2 linked regions of the Notamacropus eugenii genome follow. The protein of the gene in region 2 interacts with the protein of the main gene of each other region in a biochemical or structural test. Links are inferred from orthologs where the notes say so. Each region holds a gene or a part of one and is shown on either strand. Other genes may lie near its edges.

Region 1 (11,329 bases), on a different chromosome or scaffold from region 2:
TGTCTCCGGCACTGAGTGTTATCCAATGCAATCCCCACCTAGTCTCCTGCTTACCCATCAACAGTTTCATCAGGAAAACGACTCAGAGTAATGATAGCTAATATTTATACAATGTCTTAGCTTCATATATTTCATCTCAGGCCATCCTCATGTAGGTTCCTTGAGGGTAGGGACTGTCAGTTTTGGGGGCTTTTGGGGGGAGTATATAGTAGGAGCTTGATCAATGATTATTGCATTGATAATTCCAACTTGACTTGAGTTGACCTAAGAGTCAACACAAAATAATAGAAAAAATGATGGAATTGAAGGCAAAAACATGGGTTCAGATTCTACCTATGTGACCCTGAGCAAGTCACTTAATCTGTTTCCTCATCTCTAAAATGACCACGTGAATTCTACAGTCCCTTCCAGTTCTAAAAATATGACCCTAGGGAGGTGGTGGCAGCTAGATAGTGCGGTGAGTAGAGCACTGGGCCCGGAATCAGGAAAGCTCATCTTCCTCAGTTCTAATCTGGCCTCAGACACTTTCCAGCTGTGTGACCCTGGGCAAGTCACTTCACCCTGGTTGCCTTAGTTTCCTCATCTATAAAATGAACTGGAGAAGAAAATGACAAACCACTCCAGCATCTTTGCTAAGAAGACCCCCAAATGGGTCAGTCAGACATGACTGAACAACAATAAGAGGTAGGTGCTATTATTATACTCCTTTTACAGATGAGGAAACTGAGGCTCAGAAAAGTTAAGTGGCTTGCTCTGGATCACACAACTATGAAGTGTTAAAAGGCAGATTTGAAATCGTTTTCCACTAATGCCATATTTATTATCCTTAATGATCTCCCTCCTCCACTTCACTAGATCCCTGGTGTTTTGAGTAGATAACCCCCCAAAAAATGCTCCAAACACAGCCCTTCTGAACAGGACTAACTGCTAGTCACAAACAGAGCTGAGGCCACAAAAATGTCCTGTCAGGTCCAGAAAGCCATTACTCAGTATGCAGAAAGGATTCCTCAGGCCATAGAAATGCTAATTGGCGGTAGGGTTGGAAATTCACGTTCTACATTGGCTATGGTAATGAGCAGTTTATAGACACTCTGGCTAGAATGCGGAGCCAGGGAATGGAAGGGACCACAGCATGCCCACTTTTTTTTTTCCCATATCTCTTTGCCTGAAGATTTTGGAGTGATCAGGTCTCAGTTGTGTGGAGGACATTGAAGAAAGAAAGGAAGGCATCCCATTAAAAAGCCTTCTCATCCATGAGTTCTGAAGGTCAGGAGGCTCTAAATAGTCCAGGCAGTGACAGAGTGGGAACTGCAGTAAAACTTTGATTTCTTGGAACCAAACTATGTGAACGGCTCAAAATTAACTAAGTGTTGCTAATTGGGAGGGGTCTGTACCATGCTGGATGGCATCCCTGCTAGCTATTGTCCTATCACTCTTCTCCCTTTTCTGGCCAGACTCCTAGAGAAGGATATCCATAATTAATGTCTCCTCTTCCCTTTTCTCATCCTCCCTTCTTAACTCTCTACAGTCTGGCTTTCTACTTCATCACTCAACTGAAACTGCTCTCTCTAGAATTACCAAGAATCCTCAATCGCCATATCCAATGACTTTTTCTCAGTCTTCATTCATCCTTCCTCAAATCTCTGCAGACTTTGACATCGTAGATCACCCTCCTTCACCTTGATACTCTCTTCTGTCTACATTTTCAAGGCACTCTTCTCTGCTGGTTCTCCTATCTACCTGACCATTTCTTCTCAGTCTCCTTTGCTAGACTTTCATTTGATCGCACCGGTGAACAGTGGATGGAGTGGCCCCCAAGGCTCTGTCCTGAGTTCTCTTCTCTTCTACATCTATAGAGTTTTATTTGGTGATCTCATCTGCTCCCATCATTTCAACTATCAACTCTGCAGGTAATTCTCATATTTATTTGTCCAACATCAACCTCTTTCCTGACCTCTGGTCTCATGTCTCCCACTGCCTTTTGGACATTTTGAATTGGCTATCCCATAGACTTCATACATGTTTAAGATTGAAATGGATTTCCCATAGAACCTCAACATGTTTAGAACTGAAATTATCTTCCCCATCCCCAAATCCTTCACTTTTTCTAATTCTCCTATTTCTATCAAGGTTATCACCATCATCCCAGTCACCTGGGCTCAAAATTTAGGTGTTATTCTCAATCCCTCTTGCTCTCTCACCATTCCCCTCTCTCCCCCAATCAATTGCTAGCCCTGTCATTTCTACCTTGGCAACATTGATCATTATATGCCTCCTTCTCCCTTCTGACACTGCCCCTGCTCTGGTTCAGGACCTCATCACCTTCCACCTAGAATAATGTAATAGCCTACTGGTTGGTTTACCTATCTCAAGTATCTCTTACCCCAGTCCATCTTCCACTTAGCTGTCAAACAGATGTTCCAAAAGTGAAATTCTGATCATCTCATCCCTCCTGGTCAATCACCTTTACTGGCTCCCTATTACCTCCAGTACCAAATATAAAACCCTTTGTTTAAATCCCCTTCCCACTGTTCCAGTCTTTGTGCTCCTTACATATACTCCCTCCCCCACCCCAAGTACTGCCCTTTCTGCTGTTCCTTGAATTACACAAACCATCTCACAACTCTTGCATATTTTCATGTATGTATTTTCATTTGCTGTCCCATGGCTGGAACTTTTTTCCTCCTCATCTCTGCTTCCTAGATTCTGTCAATTCTCATCTAAAATCCCACCTTCTTAGGAAGCCTTTCCTGATCTCCCTTAATACTAGTGCCTTCCCTCTGTTGATTCTCTCTAATTTAACCTGTATACATCTTGTTTTTGCATGTTCTCTCCCCCATTAGACTGTGGGCTCCTTCAGAGTAAGGACTAGTCTCTTTTTTTCTTTGTGTCTCCAACACTCCACATATATGTTTTTTTTAAATGGTTGTAAACTGCTTGTTGACTGACAAAAAAAAATCTACACGGACAAATAATTGTCTATATCTAATAGTAATAAATGTAAAGTGCTACACTCAGGTTTAAAAAGTCAAGCGTCCCAAGTTTCTTATACTTAATATGTATGTGATATTGGCTAAATCACCTCTCTGGGCATCAGTTTTCTCATCTGTAAAATGAGGGAATTGGGACAAACCTCTGAGGTGCCTTCTGGTTCTAAATGCTAAGGGCAGGATGAGGAAACCACACCTAGACAACAATTTATGTGAAAAAGACATGTTTTCAGCTAAAATTCAAGCTGAGTCACATGTACCATCATTGTGCTCTTAGGCTGCTCTGATGGAATCATAATGTCCCGAACAGGGGCTCCTAACCCTTCCTGCTCAGACTATTACCTGGAAATTTGATCTGTTCTGGGTGCCACATTTTAGAAAGAACATCGACAAGTCTGAGGGCATCAGATAAGGAAACTAAAACCCAGGCTACCATGAGACAGAATAAAGGAACGATCTAGCTGAAAGAAGGTAAAACATAGTAAGGGAGCTCTGTTGGTTGTGACATGTAGAAGAGACAGAACTACAATGAAAGTCTCACAGGCAACCTTCCCGTCAAGGATCGCCATTCTAAAGCAAAACAGTCCAGAAGTAGAAAGGAGTAGAGAGTTCTCCATCACTGACTCAATGACTACTCATGAGGGAGGGAAAAGAATGGGTTCTTGTTTAGGAGAACTCTTCAGATTCTAACTTTGTTTGGGTTTTTCCTCTACCTTGGCACTCCACTTCAGAGAGAAAGAGGCCAACCCCAAGAAATCAATCTGGATTCAATGATTTAATTAAAAAAAATAACAGTCTTGCAATGGATGGAATGGGGAAGGTTCTGGAGTCAGTACACATAGGAGATGAGCTGAAAGGAGGTCCCAGAGGTCACCTAGTCCAACTCTTTCATCTTACAAATGAGTAAACTGAGGCCCAGAGAGGCTGTGATTTGTCTACAGCAGGAATTGGACCCTAGGACCTCTTACTCGAATTCTAATTCTCATTCCCTTACCCACCACCAACTCCCGACTTTCTGCATCAGCAGCTATGGGTCCTGGGCTGGAAGAACCCATGTTTAAAATAGTGGCTCTGCTTGATCTTCCAATATTCTCTGCACTTTACTGAACTTTCTTAGGTGAACAAAGGCATGGACAGAGAAGGCAGTGTGGGGGTGTAGTGGAAAGAGCCCCCTACCCCCAAGACAAAAAAAAAAAGACCTCGGTTCTAGTCCCTCCTCCTAGACAAGTGTTGGGACCCTTTCCTGTCCCTGGCCCTCAGTTTCCCCATTTGTAAAAAAAAAGAATTTGTACTAGATCTCTAGATTCCCTTCCAGCTCTAACAAACTGTGATTCCATGCCATGGGTCATTGGGTGCTGTGGAAGACTCTTTGTACGTTCTCTTTGTCCATAAAAACCAGTGACTTTCCACTTGTCACATGTTGCTATAGCAATGAGTCCTCTCCCAATGCCTTCGTTTAAGAGTTAAGAAGGAAGCAGTGTAAGAGTATGAAGGGGAGTTGAGTTTGGTTTTGGAGGAGGGAGAGGGGGTGGGAGGAGACCGCAGTGTTTTCTCCAGATAAAAGCCATTGGGTAAACTCTTATTAATAACCCATATGCAAGCTCTGGAGTCCCCCCGCCCCCACCTCCCCAGTGTAGCTGGGATAGTGCCAACAGCACCAGTCTGGAAGTCAGGAGACCTCCTTTCTAATCCCGCCTCTGCCATTAACTCTCTATGTGACCTCGGACAAATCCCTACTTCTCTTTGGGACCTCCGTTCCCCCAACTGTAAAATGGGGGCGAGGGGTTAGCCTGGAATGATCTTCCCAGCTCTGGCAATCTGTGATCATACAAGCTTATTACCAAAAAGAACGGCCCGTACCCGCTCCAGTCCTACATACAGAGATAGTTTGCAGTGGTGCCAACCAGTCCCGCGAGCCGCCCCCCATCCCGGCCGCCTGCCCCGGGGCGCACTCACCTATCGCCGAGGAACAGAGCAGCTGCTGGGGGTGCGCGGGGGCGCAGCTGCATGCCTCCACCCGGGCCCGGAGCTGTAGGCTGAGCCCCAGCAGCAACCCGGACAGCCACCAGGCACGGAGGGCGGCAAGCATGCTGTCAGCGCCCCCCTGCCCCGGAGCGCACCCCGGGCCGCGCCGCGCCAGGCAGAGGCGAGCGCCCCTCCTGGTCCCGCTGCCCACCCGGGGCTCTCGGGCTGAGGCTGGACTGGGGCTCGGCTGCTGAGGGCGCTGGCTGTAGCGCTGGCACTGCCTATGCCCCTGCTGGCGCTGGCGCTGGCGCTGCCGATGCCGATGCTTCTCCGACGCTGGCGCTGGCCTGGGCACTGGCGCTCCGCCTCCCTCGGCTCCGGACAGCCCCTGGCGACTCTGTTCAGTCCCAGCACCCCCTGATGTTTATCTCCCTGACACGCGACCCTCTTATTTATGGCCCCGACCCCTCGGGGCTAACCCCGCCTTCTGGGCCTCACTCCCAGCCCATCGCTGACAGCCAGAGGCATCTTGTCTCCAAAGAGGGGGTTACCTTACTTGGTTTCGCATAACGGGGTGGCTCTGAGTCAGGAAAACTATTAATAACCCAAGCCTCTGCCCTCCCTCCCTCCCCACTCCCCACCCCCTGCTATGCCCCAGCCACCCTCCGAACTGGGGGAGATGTTTTTGGATTCCAAGGCAGGAAGGGGACCTGGTGTCCCAGGAGCGGTCTGAGCAAAGCTGCCCAGGCCAGAGTGAAGAAAGACTACTTGAAGGGAAGAGAGGATTCCTTCCTTCCCTGGGGAGAGGAGAGGACATTGCGGGAACCCCTCTTCCCCACCCCGCCCTGCAGGCTTCCCCCAAAGGCAGCCAGCCTGCGAGCTGGGCCACAGTGCCCGCCTGCGGTAGGCGACACAGGGCGTCATTCAGCTGCAGGAAGTGTTTTCAATGCCCTATTTGTGAGGCCCCAAACAAACAGCAAACAGAGAGGCAGAGAGGGCTGCCTCTCTCTGAGGGAAAGGCGCCAGCAACAGCGGCGTTTGAATCCCTTTCCCATGCCCAGGGTCCCAGGCTCCGCGGACAGTTGGCATCTGAACTAGCTCCCTTCCTGTGATTTTCCCTGGAGTGGGGGAGGGTGGAACGCTGGGCTTCAGACACCCTGGAACCCAGAGTCTCTCCCTTTCCCTCTGGCTCTCTAACTTTGACCCCTCAACCCTGCTCTGTTGACCTTCCTCCAGCTGCCGCATGTCCTGGGGAGTCGAGGCAAAGGAAGAGGAAGTGAGGATCTGTACCCCACACTGCGGCCATAACCAGATTGCTACAGGATTAGCCAGACCGGAAGAGAAGAGGATGCTTGTGGTTGGCAGGGCTGGTCTAGGGCTTGGCAACCTGTGGTTTGCATGCCCAAGGTGGCACAAAAGATGGGTTATAAGGCCATAGGGGCTGGTGGTGTGGGAGAGATATGAGGAGAGACTTGTTTTGAGCCCTCCTCTTATGACTCCTGACCACCCTAGATCATCAAGATTCCTGGGAACTAAGGCTTCAGAGAATTCTTCTAGGATATCCCTGGATTCATCTCTTCCTCAAATTTGGAGGAATCAGGCAGGCTCCTTCAGCCTCTGTAGCCCCCTTATCCCACATCACCACCACCAAAGAAGTGAATGAATGAACACTTGGCACACTGATTCAAAAAGATTGCTGACTCCTAAACTAGTCTAATGTAAAAAGTGTTGGATTAAGGCAAAGTGGACAGAGGATGAGGGGTGGGCGGAGAATCAAGTTCCCAACCACACATTTAACATTGGACAAGTTGAACCCTCTTTTGGGCAAGATGCCACAGACCTTGGGGCCTAGAATTGTCAATACCATACCTTGTTTTCTTTTTCTTTTTTCTCTCTCTCTCTCTATTTGTTTCCAACATGACTATGTTGGAGATCGATGAAATGAAAAACAGGTACAGGTATTAATTGAAAACAAAGATACAAAAAAAATTATTGGAAACCAAATTTGTGAAAAAAAGAATAATTGAATTTATTTCATTTCTAAAGTATAATTTGGATATTTTTATAAAGTATTTTGATGAGTTTATAAAGTACTACCAAATTCTCTAGAGTTTAATGAAAACAACAACCACAAACAAACAAAATTCACAGATCAGTTATTCCTTAAAAGGCACCTTTAAAATGACTAGGAATTGACCTAAAACTGAGGTTGGCATTTTAAGAACTGTTTTATTAACTTTATTTTTTTTTATTTTTCATTTTTAACACAGTTCATATCACATAAAACAATTCCATCTTTTGGTCAGGTGATACTTCTTGTAAAGCATTTACAACATAGACCACAAACGAATTTTTTTTTTAACATTAACCAACTGAGACACAAATAATAGCTATGTATGCTAACTTCACAAGCCCTTGACCTAATTGTCTCCACAGTATTACTAAGAATTAAAGGACCCTAACTTATTGTTGTTGGTCTAAAGTCCTAAGCCTAATAGCTTAGTTTTAGACTTAACCTCGGACATTCCCCTACCAAGAATTTATAATTTAATAGATCTGGTATTAAGCTTACAAACCTTCTGACTATAGGAAATTGCCACTAAGAGTAGGGACGCTGCAGGGAAACAATATCTCCCCAACTTCATGTCAGTTACAGGCGGGAGTAGATTGTCAACTTGCATTCAGTCAGGCTTAAAGTCTGCCAGGTGTCAGTGAGGAAATTGGGTCAGGAGAATCCTACCTCAGCCCAGGTTGAACAGCCTCTCTCCCACCCTTCCTATGAGATCACCTTTTTCAGTTCATACCAGCATCTCACAGTTTTATTGGCATCATGGACTGGAGGCCCAGACTGCCTTTCTTGCTATCCATATCTGGAATTAGACTCAGAAGAACAGTCAGTTAATAGTCCCATAGCATCTTAAAATAGCAAGTTCCAATAAGCAGGTTTCAGATATGACTATAATTTCATATTGGCTAAGGAACATCTTTTGAGGCAAGTTTTAAGTGGCTTACATGCCTTTCTGTACATGTTCTAGTTCTTGATTAAAAAACAATCATAAAATAAAATTTACCATTAAAACCTTAACTTTTCCATCAATGCCAAATTTTACCCGAGGTTACTTGCCTCTAGGAAATTTAGACTAAAATTCTTTTCCCCCAAGTAAAGATGTCTCTGATTTAATCTCAGTAATTAATTCAGTCAATTGTTTTAATACTAATTGCTTTTACATCACTTTGTAATATGTCCAGTTTTTCTCCCCGTCTCTTCCTTCCCCTACCCCCTAATACCTTGCATTCTGAGTATCCCTTCCCTCAGTGTGCCCTCCCTTGTATCACACCCCTCCCTTCCCTTATCCCCATCTTCTCTCTTTTCTTGTAGGGCAAGAGACATTTCTATACCCCATTACCTGTGTTTCTTATTTCCCGGTTATGTGCAATAATAATGCTCAACATTCATTTCTAATACTTTGAATTCCAACTTCTCTCCCTTTCTCCCTCCCTGTCCATCTCCACTGAGAAGGCAGGCAATTCAATACAGACTAAATATGTGTTGTTTTGCAAAAGACTTCCATAATAATCATGTTGTGTAATACTAACTAAATTGCCCTCTATCCTATTCTATTCCCCCTTATTTTTTTATTCCTTCGTTTGACTTTGTCCCTTCCCAAAGGTGTTTATTTCTAATTACTCCCTTCTCCCATTTGCTCTCCCTTCTATCATTCCCCTCATCCCACTTGTCACCTACTCCCCTACTTTCCTGTAGTGTAAGATAGATTATCATACCAAATATAGTGAGCATGTTATTTCCTCCTTAAGCCATATGTGGAGAGAGTAGTTTCACTTTTCCCCTCTCCCCTTCTCCCTTTTCTCCTCCATTGAAAAAGATTTTTCTTATCTCTTTTATGAGTTATAGCCTACCCCATTTCATTTCTCCCTTTCTCTTCCCAGTATTTTCCTCCCTCTCCCCCTAATTTTTATTTTATATCTTTTTTTTTGTGGATATCTCTTCTTATTCAACACAGTCTGTACTCTGTGCGTGTATGTGTGTGCGCATGTATGTACAATCCCTCCACCTACCCAAATACTGAGAAAAGTCTCAAGAATTATAAATATTTTCTTTCCATGTAGGAATGTAAACAGTTCAGCTTTAGAATGTCTTTTATGATTTCTCTTTCCTGTTTACCTTTTCATGCTTCTCTTGATTCTTGTGTTTGAAAGTCAAATTTTCTCTTCAGTTCTAGTCTTTTCATTGTGAATGCTTGAAAGTCCTCTATATCATAGAATGACCATTTATTCCCTTGAAGTATTATACTCAGTTTTGCTGGGTAGGTGATTCTTGGTTTTAATCCCAGTTCCTTTGACTTCTGGAATGTCCATTCCAAGTCCTTCAATCCCTTAATGTTGAAGCTGCCAGATCCTGTGCTATCCCGATTGTATTTCCACAATACTCAAATTGTTTTTTTTTTCTAGATCCTTGCTTGCAGTATTCTCTCCTTGACCTGGGAACTCTGAAATTTGGCCACAATATTCCTAGGAGTTTCTCTTTTTGGGTCTCTTTCAGGAGGTGATCAGTGAATTCTTTCAATATTTATTTTGCCCTCTGGTTCTAGAATATCAGGACAGTTTTTCTTGATAATTTCATGGAAGATAATGTCTAGGCTCTTTTTTTGATCATGGCTTTCAGATAGTCCCATAATTTTTAAATTGTCTCTCCTGGATCTATTTTCCAGGTCAGTTGTTTTTCAATGAGATGTTTTACATTATCTTCTATTTTTTCAAATTTTTGGTTTTGTTTTTTAAATTCTTGGTTTATCTCATAGTCATTCATTTCCCCAAACTCAATTCTCTCTTCAACAAGCTATTTTGTTCAGTGAGCTTTTGAATCTTCTCCTCCATTTGGCTAATTCTACTTTTTAAAGCCTCCTTCTCCTCATTGGCTTTTTGGACCTCTTTTTCCAATTGAGTTAGCCTCTTTTTAAAGGTGTTATTTTCCTCAGCATTTCTTTGGTTCTCCTTTAGCAAGCTGCTAACTCACTTTTCAAGCTCTTCCATTGCCTGAGCCTAGTTTAAGTTCCCTTTGGAGGCCCTGGAGGCAGAGGCCTTGACTTCCTGTGACAGTATGCCTTGTTCTTCCTCATCTGAAAGGATGGGAGAAGACACCTGTTCACCAAGAAAGTGACCTTCTATGATCTTATTTTTTTTCCATTTTTTGGACATTTTTCCAGCCAGTTACTTGACTTCTGAATCCTTTGTCAAGAGGATGGTCCTATCGTCTCTCCTCTCCCCAGTGCCGTGTTCAAGGCTGAGATTCAACTCAGCTGCTTGATTTCTGGGGGCTTGGGGTGGAGACAGGACCATCACTCAGGGTTGAGGATTAGATCAGCTGCTCCCTATGGACAGAGGCTTTAAACTGAACTGCTTGGACAATGGACCCAGGTTGCTTCCTGGCTGGCCACTGTAGCTGCCTGCAGTCTGCTGCCGTGGTCTCTACCATTTCCTGGGGCTATAGCTGGAGGAACCCATTTCCCTCTCACTCAGCTGGGAAAGCCCTCCTACACTGACCTTTGGAGCTTTCTTTGTCGCTAGTGGGTTGAGAGATCTGGAACCCTCCCTGATGGAAATTCGGAGGTCTGTTCAGATCCTGTTCCTCGCAATGCCTTGTGGCCAGGGATGGGCTCCACTCCATTCATTGTCCCATGAGATAGACCTTTTCTGTCAGCCTTCCAGGTTACCTTTCTCTCTGTTGTTCTGTGGCTTCTTCTACTCTAGAATTTGTTGAGAGTCATTTTTTACAGGTATTTTGTGGGTTGTGGGGGAAGTGCTAGAGTATATGTGTCTTTCTACTCTGCCATCTTGGCTCTGCCCTCCTGATACCTTGTTTTCAATTCAGTGGAGATGCATTATGAACTTCCCAGAACTTTGAACTGATGTAGGCAGCCACTAGTGAAGAATGACTTACAGAAGATAATCTTTGCCAAAGGACACCTTCTCAACTGCCCATCAGGAAAGTCCATTTCATTAGGTAATAGAATCGTAGGATTTAGAACTGAGAAGGACCTTACCAAACATCTGTTTCTAGCACTTTATTACCTTTTCTTTTTCTTTTCTTCCTTCTTTCATTTATCTTTCCTTTTGTTCCTTCTTTCTTCCTTCTTTCTTTATTCAGAGGAAGTAATTGAATTAAAATCTGGGCAAATCACTCAACCCTGTTTGCCTCAGTTTCCTCATCTTTAAATGAGCTGGAGAAAGAAATGGAAAGCCACTCAGTATCTTTTTTTGTGGGTCACAGAGAGTCAGACACAACTGAAAAACAACTAAACAGCATCAAACTGAGGTCCAGAGACCAAGTAGTCACCTGCCCAAAGTCTGGCAAA
Region 2 (11,329 bases):
AAGGTGGTGCTTAGGTTGAATTCTGAAAGAGAAAAGGGATTTTAAGAGGAGAGTGAGTTCCAGGCATGGGCAGGACATTTAGTGGTGGCTGTTGTCCTTTATTTTTGAAGAGGACCGAAGTGACATCACTATGATAAAGTCAAGTTTCGATGTGTCCAACTGTGACTGGTCAGACCAATATGAGCTTGGAATGCTCTACCACAGATTGGGTACAAATAGTCCATGTGAATATTTAGAGTGTCTACTCAAAATTTGCAAATCCTATGTTTCCTTTGAGCTGTTTCAATTCTGCTTTGCTCATAGAGCACATTACCTTCTCTGATGTGGGCATGCCACGCTGAGTGTTCCTGTGCCAGTGTCTCCCATGTCACATAATCAATTCCAAAGTTCTTGAGAAAGACCTTGAGAGTGTCCTTGTATCACATCTTCTGGCCACCAAGAGTTCGCCTGCCCTGTGTGAGTTCTCCATTAAATAATCTTTTTGGCAAGTGTATAGGCAGGTCATGTAAGAGTAAATGTCTAGTACTCAGTTGCATATTCAGGACAGAAGTTCTGAAGGAGGGTCAAGACTGGAAATGTATATGAAGGTGTAATCTATATAAAACAGAGCCACAAGATAAAGCCACAGCAATAGATGAATTCTCTGAAATCCATTAGAAAAGAGAACTAAGGACATAGCCTTAGGGAATGCCCCTGGCTGGAAGGCTAGAGAAGAAAGAAGGGCCAATAAAGAATGATGTCACTTCCTCTCTTATTCCCAGAGCTCAATTCCCTGTCAAGCTGCTTTCATGACCTCCTACATAGACATGCAGTCTAGAAAATAAATAAATGTTTTCCTTTCAAATGCAAAGATGCTGCTCCTGATCCTCTCATCCATAGGGCAGAGGCTCTGAGTTTTGTTTTTAATAGTGAGAAGAGCTTTGCATTGAGCAATTCATTCTTCTTAGCTTGGTCACAAGTTACAAATTTTTCAAAACAGCTGTTTGGTGTAAAGGATACTGCCAGCAGCCACAGAGCACAGTGATGCTAACTGACCCACCTGAGAACTGAACTCGTGACTATGGTCTCATTATAAAGTTGGCTACAACCACAAAGTTAAGCAACCCCAAACCATCTCATAAACTCAAGCTTATTGCACTCAACTCCTCTTCCATTTGGGAGAAAAATTCCCCCACAAATTCAACCCACATGACTTGGATAAAATTACTCCCCCTTTCTCAACAATTCTACCTACTTTCTCCCTGCCTTTACCCCATCCTGTCTATTCCCTTCAGTTTAGCCTTACTATTCCTTCCAAAGTCTTCTCCAGCTGTTATTTTAACTATGCTTCCCCCATCTTAGGTCCTGCAGTGTTTTCTCATTGACCTCATCAACTCTTGTCTGGTATTTGTATTAGCCTTCATTGATGGCCCTACCTCTGGTATTTCCCGACTCTGGCTCTTCTTTCACAAATTGCTATTCCTACCACACAATTGTGACTTTGTCAGCATTCTTTCATGTAAAAATCTCTAATGATTCCCTATTGCCTCTAACATACAAGATGAACTCTGTAGGCTAGAATTTAAAGCTGTCCAACAGTCTAGCTCCTATCTATATTTTTCCAGTTTTATTTCACATTATCTTCTACTTCATCTTTGCCTCTTAGAATCCCAAGTTTTCTTCAAAACACAACTCAGTTGTTACTTCCCATAGAAGGCTCCTAATCCTCCCAATTGCTGGTACTCTTTCCTTCCTGAAATTGCTTTTTGCATACTTCATAATTATTCCTATGCATGCTATATCACTACCAGCAGAATATAAGCTCTTTGAGAATGAAGACTGATTTTTATGTTTGTATCTCTAAGACCTAAGACCAAAGCATAATGCTTTGGAGGTAGAAGGCATTTAGTAAATACTTATTGATTTGAATTGAATTAAATAATAGGACAATGAGCCTTCATATTGGGGAAAAAATGAGAGGATTAGACCTCATTGGGAATATCATTAGAATCTCATTCATTTTACAGATGAAACTGAGGCTCCAAGAGTTTGCTAGCTGGCCCAAGGTCACCCAACTAGAAAGCTACAGAGAATAGATTCTAAAAGAGGACTTCTAACACCTAGACCTGTGCTCTGCTCTTTCCACTATAGCATACAGGTCTACACCCTACTTTTCATAGCCCCTCACCAAGTTGTCCTGTATTCCTATCTTGCTAAGTTTGATTCTATATCCCAGTATTTGATTTCAATTCAACAAGCTCTTGAATTCTCACTTCCTCAATGAAGCCTTCCTGGACTGATCAGGGAAGCAGTGTGAGATCCTCCATTTAGCCCCCAGTCGAAACTGGGTACAAAACCCACGGGGGTAAGAAGAGGTGAGGAAGTTACTGTCCTGCTGTTGGTGCTTGTTAATCTTTTGGTAGGCAAATTACACATAAGAATTGATCCTAAATGGGATTCCCATATGTCCATTTTTCCTGACACTGACTGATCAACAGAGCACACTTTTCTCTGATCAGTTATTGATATGATACTTTTTTCTCCAGTTGCCTGTATAACAACCACATACCTTCATGTGCCTGAAATGCTCCCTCCTCATCTCTGCCTACTGGTGTCACTGACTTCCTTTAAGTACCTTAATTCTAGTGTTCCTCTCTTTTAATTATCTCCTACTAATCCTACTGATTGTTTGCATATATTTGTTTGCTCCTTGGGTCCTCCCTTAGATTGTGAGCTTAAGGGAAGGAACTGTTCTTTGTTTCTTTCTGTATTCCCAGCCCTTAGCACCGTATATGTTCAATTCTTTGTGACACCATTTGGGGTTTTCTTGGCAAAGACACTTGAATAGTTTGCCATTTCTTTCTCCATCTTATTTGACAGATAAGGAACTGAGGCAAACAGTTGAATTCATGAAGATGAGTCTTTCTGATTTCAAGCCCCTTGCTCTATCCATTGCATCTAGTTTGGCCCATAGCGAGCATTCAATAAATGTTTGTTCACTTAGCGGCTGAATATATATCTGTGTGTCTTAGCTCATAAAGTTCCAGAGAGCATTTCCTGTCTTTAGACTTTTTCATATAGTACTTAGCACAATGTTATACACTATTAAGTAAATAACATTCCTACTACGCTCATTGTTCTCCGTGGGTTATTTCACATCGAATGACATAACATGTAAAATGCTTTGCAAATCTTAAAAGCACTCTACAAATGTTAGCTAGGACATCTATTCAACTAGGCTAGAGACTCTTCAAAAGCAAGGATTAGATCTTTCTTGCTTTGTCTTTTTTTTTTCTTTTTCCATTATTGGATACACATTAGACATTTAATAAGTACTTGCTGAGTTGCAAGGTTATAGTGGAAAGGATATTGGCTCTAGATTCAAAATCCTACCTCTGCTGATCACTTTGTGACCTTGGAAAGTCATTTAACCTCCTTGGGCAAGCCTCAGTTTCCTCATCTGTAAACAGAGAGGTTGGACTAGATTATTTGTGATGGATGTCCCTTCTAGCTCTAAATCTATGACCTTAATTAATCTAATTAAATCTAATCAAACTAAAAACTAATTTACTAATTACTAATTAGTAAAGATGACACCATAAAATATCAGAGCTGAAAAAAACCTTAAAAACTACCTAGATCAACTTTCCTCACTTTCCTATCTCACCCTACCCTTGATACTCTTTTCTTGTTACCTATTATGGTTAGAGTTTTGAGCTATCTCTCTTGATGATCCAAACCCAGCAAGGTGACCCAGAAAAAATGTTGCCTCAGCTGTTTCTGCTTGGGAGAACTCTGCATCTGGTTCTGTTCTTGCCAAGCTCTCTCAAACTGGGGGCTATTCTAAATAATCCAGGATACCAAATTTGTCCTTCCTCTGATATGGTTCAGTGTTCCCCTAACTTTTTTGTCCTTTTGAAATGATGGCTCCATCAACAGATAAAAGAAAGTGCTTAGGATAAGAGGTGGATTAGTCATGGGATTGCAGGATCATATAGTTAGAACTAAAAGGAATTCAGAGGCCATCTAGGCCACAACCCTAATTTTACAGATAAGAAAACTAAACCTAAAGCCTCTACTCTTCTCAGATGACATCTGGAGCACTGTTTTATCTTGGGTATCACATTTAAAGGATACTGACAAATTGAAGAAAGTCCAGAGGACACATCTAGGATGGTGCTAGAGAGGGTCAGTTGAAAGATGTAATGATATTTTAGCATGAAGTCAAGAATACTTGGGTTGGAGCAGTTGGATTTGTTCTGCTTGCTGGTCCCAGATGTGGAACTAGGAACAAATGGGCATACTGTTGCAGAAAGGCAGTTTGGGGCTTGATGAAAGGAAAATCAATTAGAGCAAAGCCAAACTGGAATGGGTGGCTTTGGTGGGTAATGAATGGATTTCCGACCCCTGGATGGCTTCCAACAGAGACTAGAAGACCACTTTTCTGAGATGCTACAGTAGAGATCCTTGTTCCGTACAGGTTGGAATAGGTGGCCTCTGAAAGTCCCTTCAACTCTGGGGATGGGTTTTATTAATTCTTTTAAACAAATTCCAAGGAAAATAGGCCCCGGGGGTCAGGTAGAAGATTTAGATTTAAACATTCCAACATTCCCTCCCCGCTCCCCTAATATGCCCCCCCCCTCCCCAGCAGCTTTCAGAAGAGCCGATTCCAACCGCGGGACTAGCGCTCCAAGACCAAAGTGCTCATTAAAGCCAAGAGGCTCAGCAGTCCCTGAGCCGCACAGTAATTGTCCCTCCAGTTCTGCTTATGCAACGATGTGGTGAATGCACGGAAAACAACATCTGAGCCGCTTCAAGGAGCGGTCCAGGCCCTGGGGGAGGGGTTTTCTGGCCAGTTCAGTTTCCCTGAAATCGTCCGGGGGCTCCCTGCTTCCCCCACCCTTTTGCTCCCCTAGCTGTGTGCCGGCGATCATTAGGAGTTGCAGGAAACCCCAGAGCGCCGCGCGCCTCCATCCCTCCTCCCTTCCTCTCTCCTTCCCCCTATCCTCCTCCTGCCCCTCGCCAGCCTCACTTCTCTAAAGTCCAAGGAAACTTTCTTTGGCAGTGAGCTCTACATCCAAAAGGCTGGCTTTGCCAATTCCTTTCTCTTGGGACACCCTGCCCCTCCCCAATCCAGGCAGACCTCCCACCCTCCAGCTGTCTCCTCTCCCCCTCCCCCTCTTTACCTCCCGGGGAGCTGAGGGAGCCAGCTCCCCCCAGCTGTGTGCAGGACCCCCTCAGCCACCCTCCCCTCCTCCCAACCCCCACCCTGCTGAAGCCCAACCGAGACACTCACTACAGCCAACTCTTTGTCTGTTTTGGGAGAGACATCGCCCGGGAACTTGATGATTGGAGACGGGGCTGCCCAAGTTTGGTGGAAAACGCTGGAGTGGAACCAGAGGGCCGGGAGGAGGAATCCTAGGACCCCGGGGGCCGCTGGAGTCATCATGGTCGTTCCTCAAAGTGTTTGTGCAGTCGCGATCTAAGAGGGGGGCTCTAAGAGTCTCCAGTCCACGTCTCCGCCTTCTTTCTCAACCGCGCATCGTTTCCAGCCCGCACGCTGAGCAGCCACTAGCTAGATCGTTCCCCTCCCCTCTCCTTCCCTCCCTTCTACTCCACTCCGCTCCGCGCAGCCTGCCCTTTTGCTGGTCCCAGCAATTCCTTTGTATGTTTAAACCCCCAGATGCGCAGCCTCCAGCCACCGCAAGAGGAAGTCTAGATCCAGCGGAAACATGGGAAAGGGGCAGTTACCAGATGTGGCCGGCTGGGCTGGGAGTTGGGAGAACAGCAGTCAAATCTGTGGCCTTGGGGGGAGGGAGGAGCGAATTCCCTCCCCTGTCCCTCTCCTACCCGGGTCACTGCCCACCCCTACCACTCCAGCTGGCCGCCCTAGAGTCTTCGTGACCATACCCTTGGGCCCTGCCCGTTAGTTTGCAGTCCAGGTCCCACATGTCTCATGTCTCTCTCCCCCACCCCTCAACATCTGGACTGGTTGACCTTTGTAATCTCTGGTCCAGAAGTTTTGGGTTTTTTTTTTCACTTGACGGCAATTTAGTGATTGATGTTGGGGAGAGTAGAGGGCAAGAAGAGGAGGACTTAGCCTTGGGTGTGGAGAGACTAGGAGAGAGAAATCATCAGATGATCAGGGATGGAGATGGATAATCAGAGAAATGGAGAGACATGGAAAAGAACAATCAAGAATGATGATGGGTGGGAAGGCATGACAATGGAAAAAGATGATGTCAGCTAAAGATGTGGAGAGAAACGAAAAAAGAGACATGGCAAAGTCGTAAATGGCAGCTGGAATGGGACCGGAGTTTGAATCTTCCTCTAGTATTATCTCTGACTCAGTGGTGACCAAAAAACACAGGCAAAAAGCAATAAAATAGCTTACATTTCTGTAGGGCTTTTTGTCATCAGAACAGATGTGGAAGCTCTGGCTCTGGTGGGTAGAGGAGACAAAATGTGGTGTCTTTGGATTTGACTCAGAACCTTGCAAGAGTCACAAACTGCCTCAACTGTGCAGGCAAGAAGTCACTCCCATGAGGTAAATGGTCTCTCTAACCACTCAGATGTTCCACTTCCCTCTTGCCCAGTCTAGGTCCCAAGGCTGAGGCAGACCCAAACAATCCAGGACACCAGGAGCTGGAATCTGGGAAATCTGGCCATACCTCTTAGTAGATACAAAATCAGGGTGAAGGGCCAGACACCCTCCTTCTCACACCATATCTCCTTAGAGTTGCTGAAGGAAGGATTATTATCCCTTAAAGTCCACAGACATAGACACTTAGGATCACAAGATGAAGAAAGACCTTTCAAAGACAGTTAGTACATACAGCTCATTTTACAGAAGATGAGACTGAAGCCCAGAAAGATTCTTACCTTGAAGCTAACAGAACACTGAGATGAATTTTTGTTCTGCCAGTAATTCTAGGAACTTCTAGACCAATAGAGACAGGACTGCTGGTAAGGGTTGAATTGACCACCAATGCTCCAATAGCCCAAAGAAGCACCTTGCTAGAATGGGCAGTGGAAAGTATATATGAAGGGGAGGTAAAGGACAGTGCTTAATGCCTTAACTGGGCATTTAGGATTCTTTCAGTGATATGATCCAGGAGAGGGCAAGCCCTTTGTCAGAGGGATAAACATCTTTGTCCAAGAGGTGGATTTTAGAATCAAAGATAATGGTTGATCTGAGAGTCAGGAACTGGGTTTTCTTTGCTTCAGATTTGAGTTAGTAGGAGGTGGTGAGGGAAAGAGGGTAATCGGTTTTCCTAACTCACCCTAACCCATCCCCAGGTCTCAGACACATCCTTACATCTTCTGCTGAGTTTCTCTATCCATGTGCCACTAGTGCTCCCAAGGGCAACACTCCATCTCCCCTAGAAACTCCTGAAGACAGTTTCCCCATCCCTTAGGATCAGCAAATTCTCTGAGTCCTTTCCTTATAAATATTTTGCCTAAAGTCCTATTGCCAACTACTGCTCACTATTTCCCCACTCCACCAAAGCTATTTCTTGGCTCAGATTCCTGCTCATGTTGTCAGAACAGATGTGGAAGCTGAGGCTTAGGGGGTAGGTAGAGGAGACAGAATTTGGTATCTATGGATTTGACTCAGAACCTTGCAGGAGCCACAAACTGCCTCAACTGTGCAGGCCAAAGTCACTCCCATGAGGTAAATGGTCTCTCTAAGCACCCAGGTGCTGCTGATTATCACTAGCAGAAGTTACTATTATACTTGCTTGGGATCAAACTACAAACTGAGATTTTCTAATCTTTACTGGGTCCTTATCACCATACAACAATCATTTCATTCTTTCTTGATTGGTTCTCTATTTCATTGCCCACAAAAGCAGTTATAAACTTTCTCTTCTCTCCTCAAGCTCTCTACACCACTCCTACTTACCTCCCTCTTAAGTGACCTCATCTATTTTTTTCTTTTAATCTTTTTCATAAATTTAGCAATCATCAAGAACACAAAAGAGAATTGTATATGAAACCTTGAGCTGCCATTATAAACAATTTGTTTTTTAAGGGATATATTAAATTTAACAAGGTAATAATAAACTTGCTTTTGTGTCCCTTTCTGAACATTGTTTATTTTCTTCTGTGTATTTTTCTAATGATTGATTAATATGCTCTTTTCTATTGTTTATGCATGTCTATTACTTCACACTAATTCACTTACCTCCAAAACTCAACCTCTCCCTTGTAGTAAATAAGCATAATTAAGCAAAATATACCCATTTTACTGAGAAAATGGAGGCCATGAGCTTCCACTTGTTACTTACTTGACACCCCAAAACCCAGCTTCATTCTTCCCCTCCTCTCTTCTTTTGCTTTATTCTTTGACCCAGAGTTTACCCTTTTTGCTCTAAGGATTGCTTCTATTTGTGTCCTGTATCTCATGCTATCCAGTCTCCTCTAGAAACTTAACTTTATTTATGCTATCCTTATCTTATCTTAAATTCTCCTTATTTGCTGCCTCCCTTTTTGGATCACTGCCTTGTCATGGAAGAGGGGCTTGCATAACTCAATGAAACTATGAGCTGGCAAGGTTATGCAACATGGATTGGTCATAGTGGAAAGTTCAGACAAAAGGTGATCCACTTACGAAGGAAATGACAAACCACCTCAATATCTTTGCCAAGAAAATCCCATGAGTGGCATTAAAATGATAAAAGATATGACATCAGAAGATGAACCTGTGGGTCTGAAGACATCCAACACCCTACTGAGAAAGAACAGAGGACAACAACAAGGAGCTCCAGAAAGAATGATGTGTATGGGCCAAAGCTGAAAGGAAGCTCAGCTGTGGATGTGTCTTGTGACTTAAGGAAAGTTTAATGTTGCAAAGATCAATATAGCTTAAGAACCCAGAATGTTAAATCTATGAGCCACAGTAAGCCAGATGTACTCAAACAGGAGATGGAAAGTTTAAGCATGAGAATCTTGGGTACCAATGAACCTAAATGGATGGGAATTGGTGAAATTAATTCAAGTGATCATTACATTTACAGCGGTGGACAAGAACTCATTGTTAATAAAAGGGTGAGAAGAGCAGTACTGGGGTATAATTTCTCCCATTCATTATCATTCTTCTATACAACATGACTTCTGTGTAAATATTTAATAGGAACATATGTGTAGAGACCATACATGATTGCATGACATCTTGGGGAAGGAGAGGGAAGAAGAGAGAGAAAATTTAAAACTTATGGAAGTGAAAGTTGAAAACCAAAAATAAATTAATAAATTTGAAAAAAATAAAAATAAATCTCCAAAAAAAGAAAATTCAAGATATCAAGGGAATGTTTCATGCAAAAAAATGGGCATGATAAAAGACAAAAATGGTAAGAAGTTAACAGAAGAAGAAGAGATTAAGAAGGGATGACAAGAACATACAGAAGAACTATTCAAGAAAGATCTTATCGTTGATAACTATGATGGTGTGGTTACTGATCTAGAATCAGACATCTGGAGAATGAAATCAAATAGGCCTTAGAAATTAAAGCTAACAATAAGCTTAGTGAAACGATGGGATTCCAGCTGAGCTATTTAAAATCCTAAAAGATGATGCTGTTAAAGTACTGCATTCAGTATGCAAGCATAGAATACTCAATAGTGGTCACTGGACTGGAAAAGATCAATTTACATTCCAATCCTAAAGAAGGTCATTGCCAAAGAATATTCAAATTACTGAACAATTGCACTCATATCAAATGTCAGGAAGTCTATGCTTAAGATTTTACAAGCAACACTTCAGCAATGTGTGAACCAAGAATTATCAGAACTTCAGGCTGGTTTTTGAAGGGGCAGAGGAACTAGAGATCAAATTACCAACATCACTGGATTATGGAGAAAGTAAGGGAGTTCCAGAAAAACATCTACTTTTGCTTTAATGACTACACTGAAGCCTTTGACTGTGTAAATTACAACAAAATATGGCTACGTCCTCAAAGGGATGGTAGTATCAGCTCATCTTATTTGTCTCCTGAGGAACCTATGTCCAGATCAAGAAGAAACAGAATAAAAAGTGGAATAACTGATTGATTTAAGGTTGGGAAAGGAGTATGACAAGGCTGCATATTGTTACCTTATTTGACTTATACGCAGAGTATATCATGTGAAATTCTAGGCTGGACAAATTAAAAGTTGCTAGGAGAAATACCAACAGTCTCAGATATGTAATTGATACCATTCTGATGACAGAAAGCATAAAAGAATTTAGAAACCTCCTGATGAGGGTGAAAGAGAAGAGTATTAAAGCTGGCTTCAAGCTTAGAATAAAAAAAGATCAAAAATGAAACCTAAGAACATAGCAACTGATTTCATTACTTCTTGGCAAATTAAAGGAGAAAAAATGGAACCAGTGTCAGATTTCATATTCTTGAACCGAAAGATTACTACTGATGGGACTGTAGCCATGAAATTAAAAAATGCTTGCTCCTTGGAAAGAATGTTATGGAAAATCTGGAAAACATACTAAAAAGTAGAGACATCACCTTGCCAAGGAAGGTCTATATGGTCAAAGTTATGCTGTTTCCAGTAGTAACGTATGGCTATGAGAGTTGAATGATAAAGAAAGCAGAATCAATGTTTTTGAATTGTGGTACAGGAGATTTCTGATATTCCCTTGGCTAGCAAGGAGATGAAATTAGTAAACACTTAAAAGAAATTAATTTCAACTCTTAATATTGGAAGGATAAATACTGAAGTTAAGTACTTTGGCCTCAAATGGTACTTATTGGGGGAAAAATCCCTGATGGTAGGAAAGACTGAAGGCAAAAGAGTAGGAATGGCAGAGGATAAGAAGATTAGTGTCATAGAAGCAATGAACATGATCTTGGAGAGGTTTCAGGAGATAGTGGAAAACAAAAGGGCTTGCTGTATTATGATTTATGGGGTCATGAAGAGTGGGACATGATTGAATGACTGAATAACAAGAATTTACTAGCTTCTTCCATGCTGCCTACAAACATCCCCAGGTTTCCATGTCTTTATAGAAATCACCCTTTGTCTGGACTGTATTTCAAAATATAATCATAGATACTTTTTATCTTTCTATCATAGTCATTTCATTTAGTTGTTGGGCTCATCACAAGGTATATTACCTATACTTCTTAGGTAGATCCTACTCATCTATAGACAATTGTAGTCTTCACCCTCCCTCTCGATTGACTTTCATTAGCTGGAGTGTCTTTAGCTGGAATGTTACACTGCTCTGCTCAGCTAGAGTGTTACAATACTCCTTTCAACTTCAGTGCTATTGTGTTCTTTCTGCAAGAGCAACAATCTTTAGTTTAAGATTAGAAGAAGCCTTCCCTCTTTGACACCTTCATTGTGAGGT

The links.
Region 1: the proteins of MMP2 (region 2) and TIMP4 form a complex in vitro, tested with the Homo sapiens proteins (2 studies listed by BioGRID). The link is inferred for Notamacropus eugenii from reciprocal best matches to the Homo sapiens genes MMP2 and TIMP4.

The regions. Positions count from the first base shown.
Region 1 is NC_092874.1:432,872,530-432,883,858, reverse strand, and holds the start of TIMP4 (metalloproteinase inhibitor 4), read right to left. Parts: upstream 5,607-11,329; 5' UTR 5,080-5,606; coding exon 4,947-5,079; intron 1-4,946. UniProt on the Homo sapiens protein: Complexes with metalloproteinases (such as collagenases) and irreversibly inactivates them by binding to their catalytic zinc cofactor. Known to act on MMP-1, MMP-2, MMP-3, MMP-7 and MMP-9.
Region 2 is NC_092872.1:471,439,925-471,451,253, reverse strand, and holds the start of MMP2 (72 kDa type IV collagenase), read right to left. Parts: upstream 5,711-11,329; 5' UTR 5,429-5,710; coding exon 5,276-5,428; intron 1-5,275.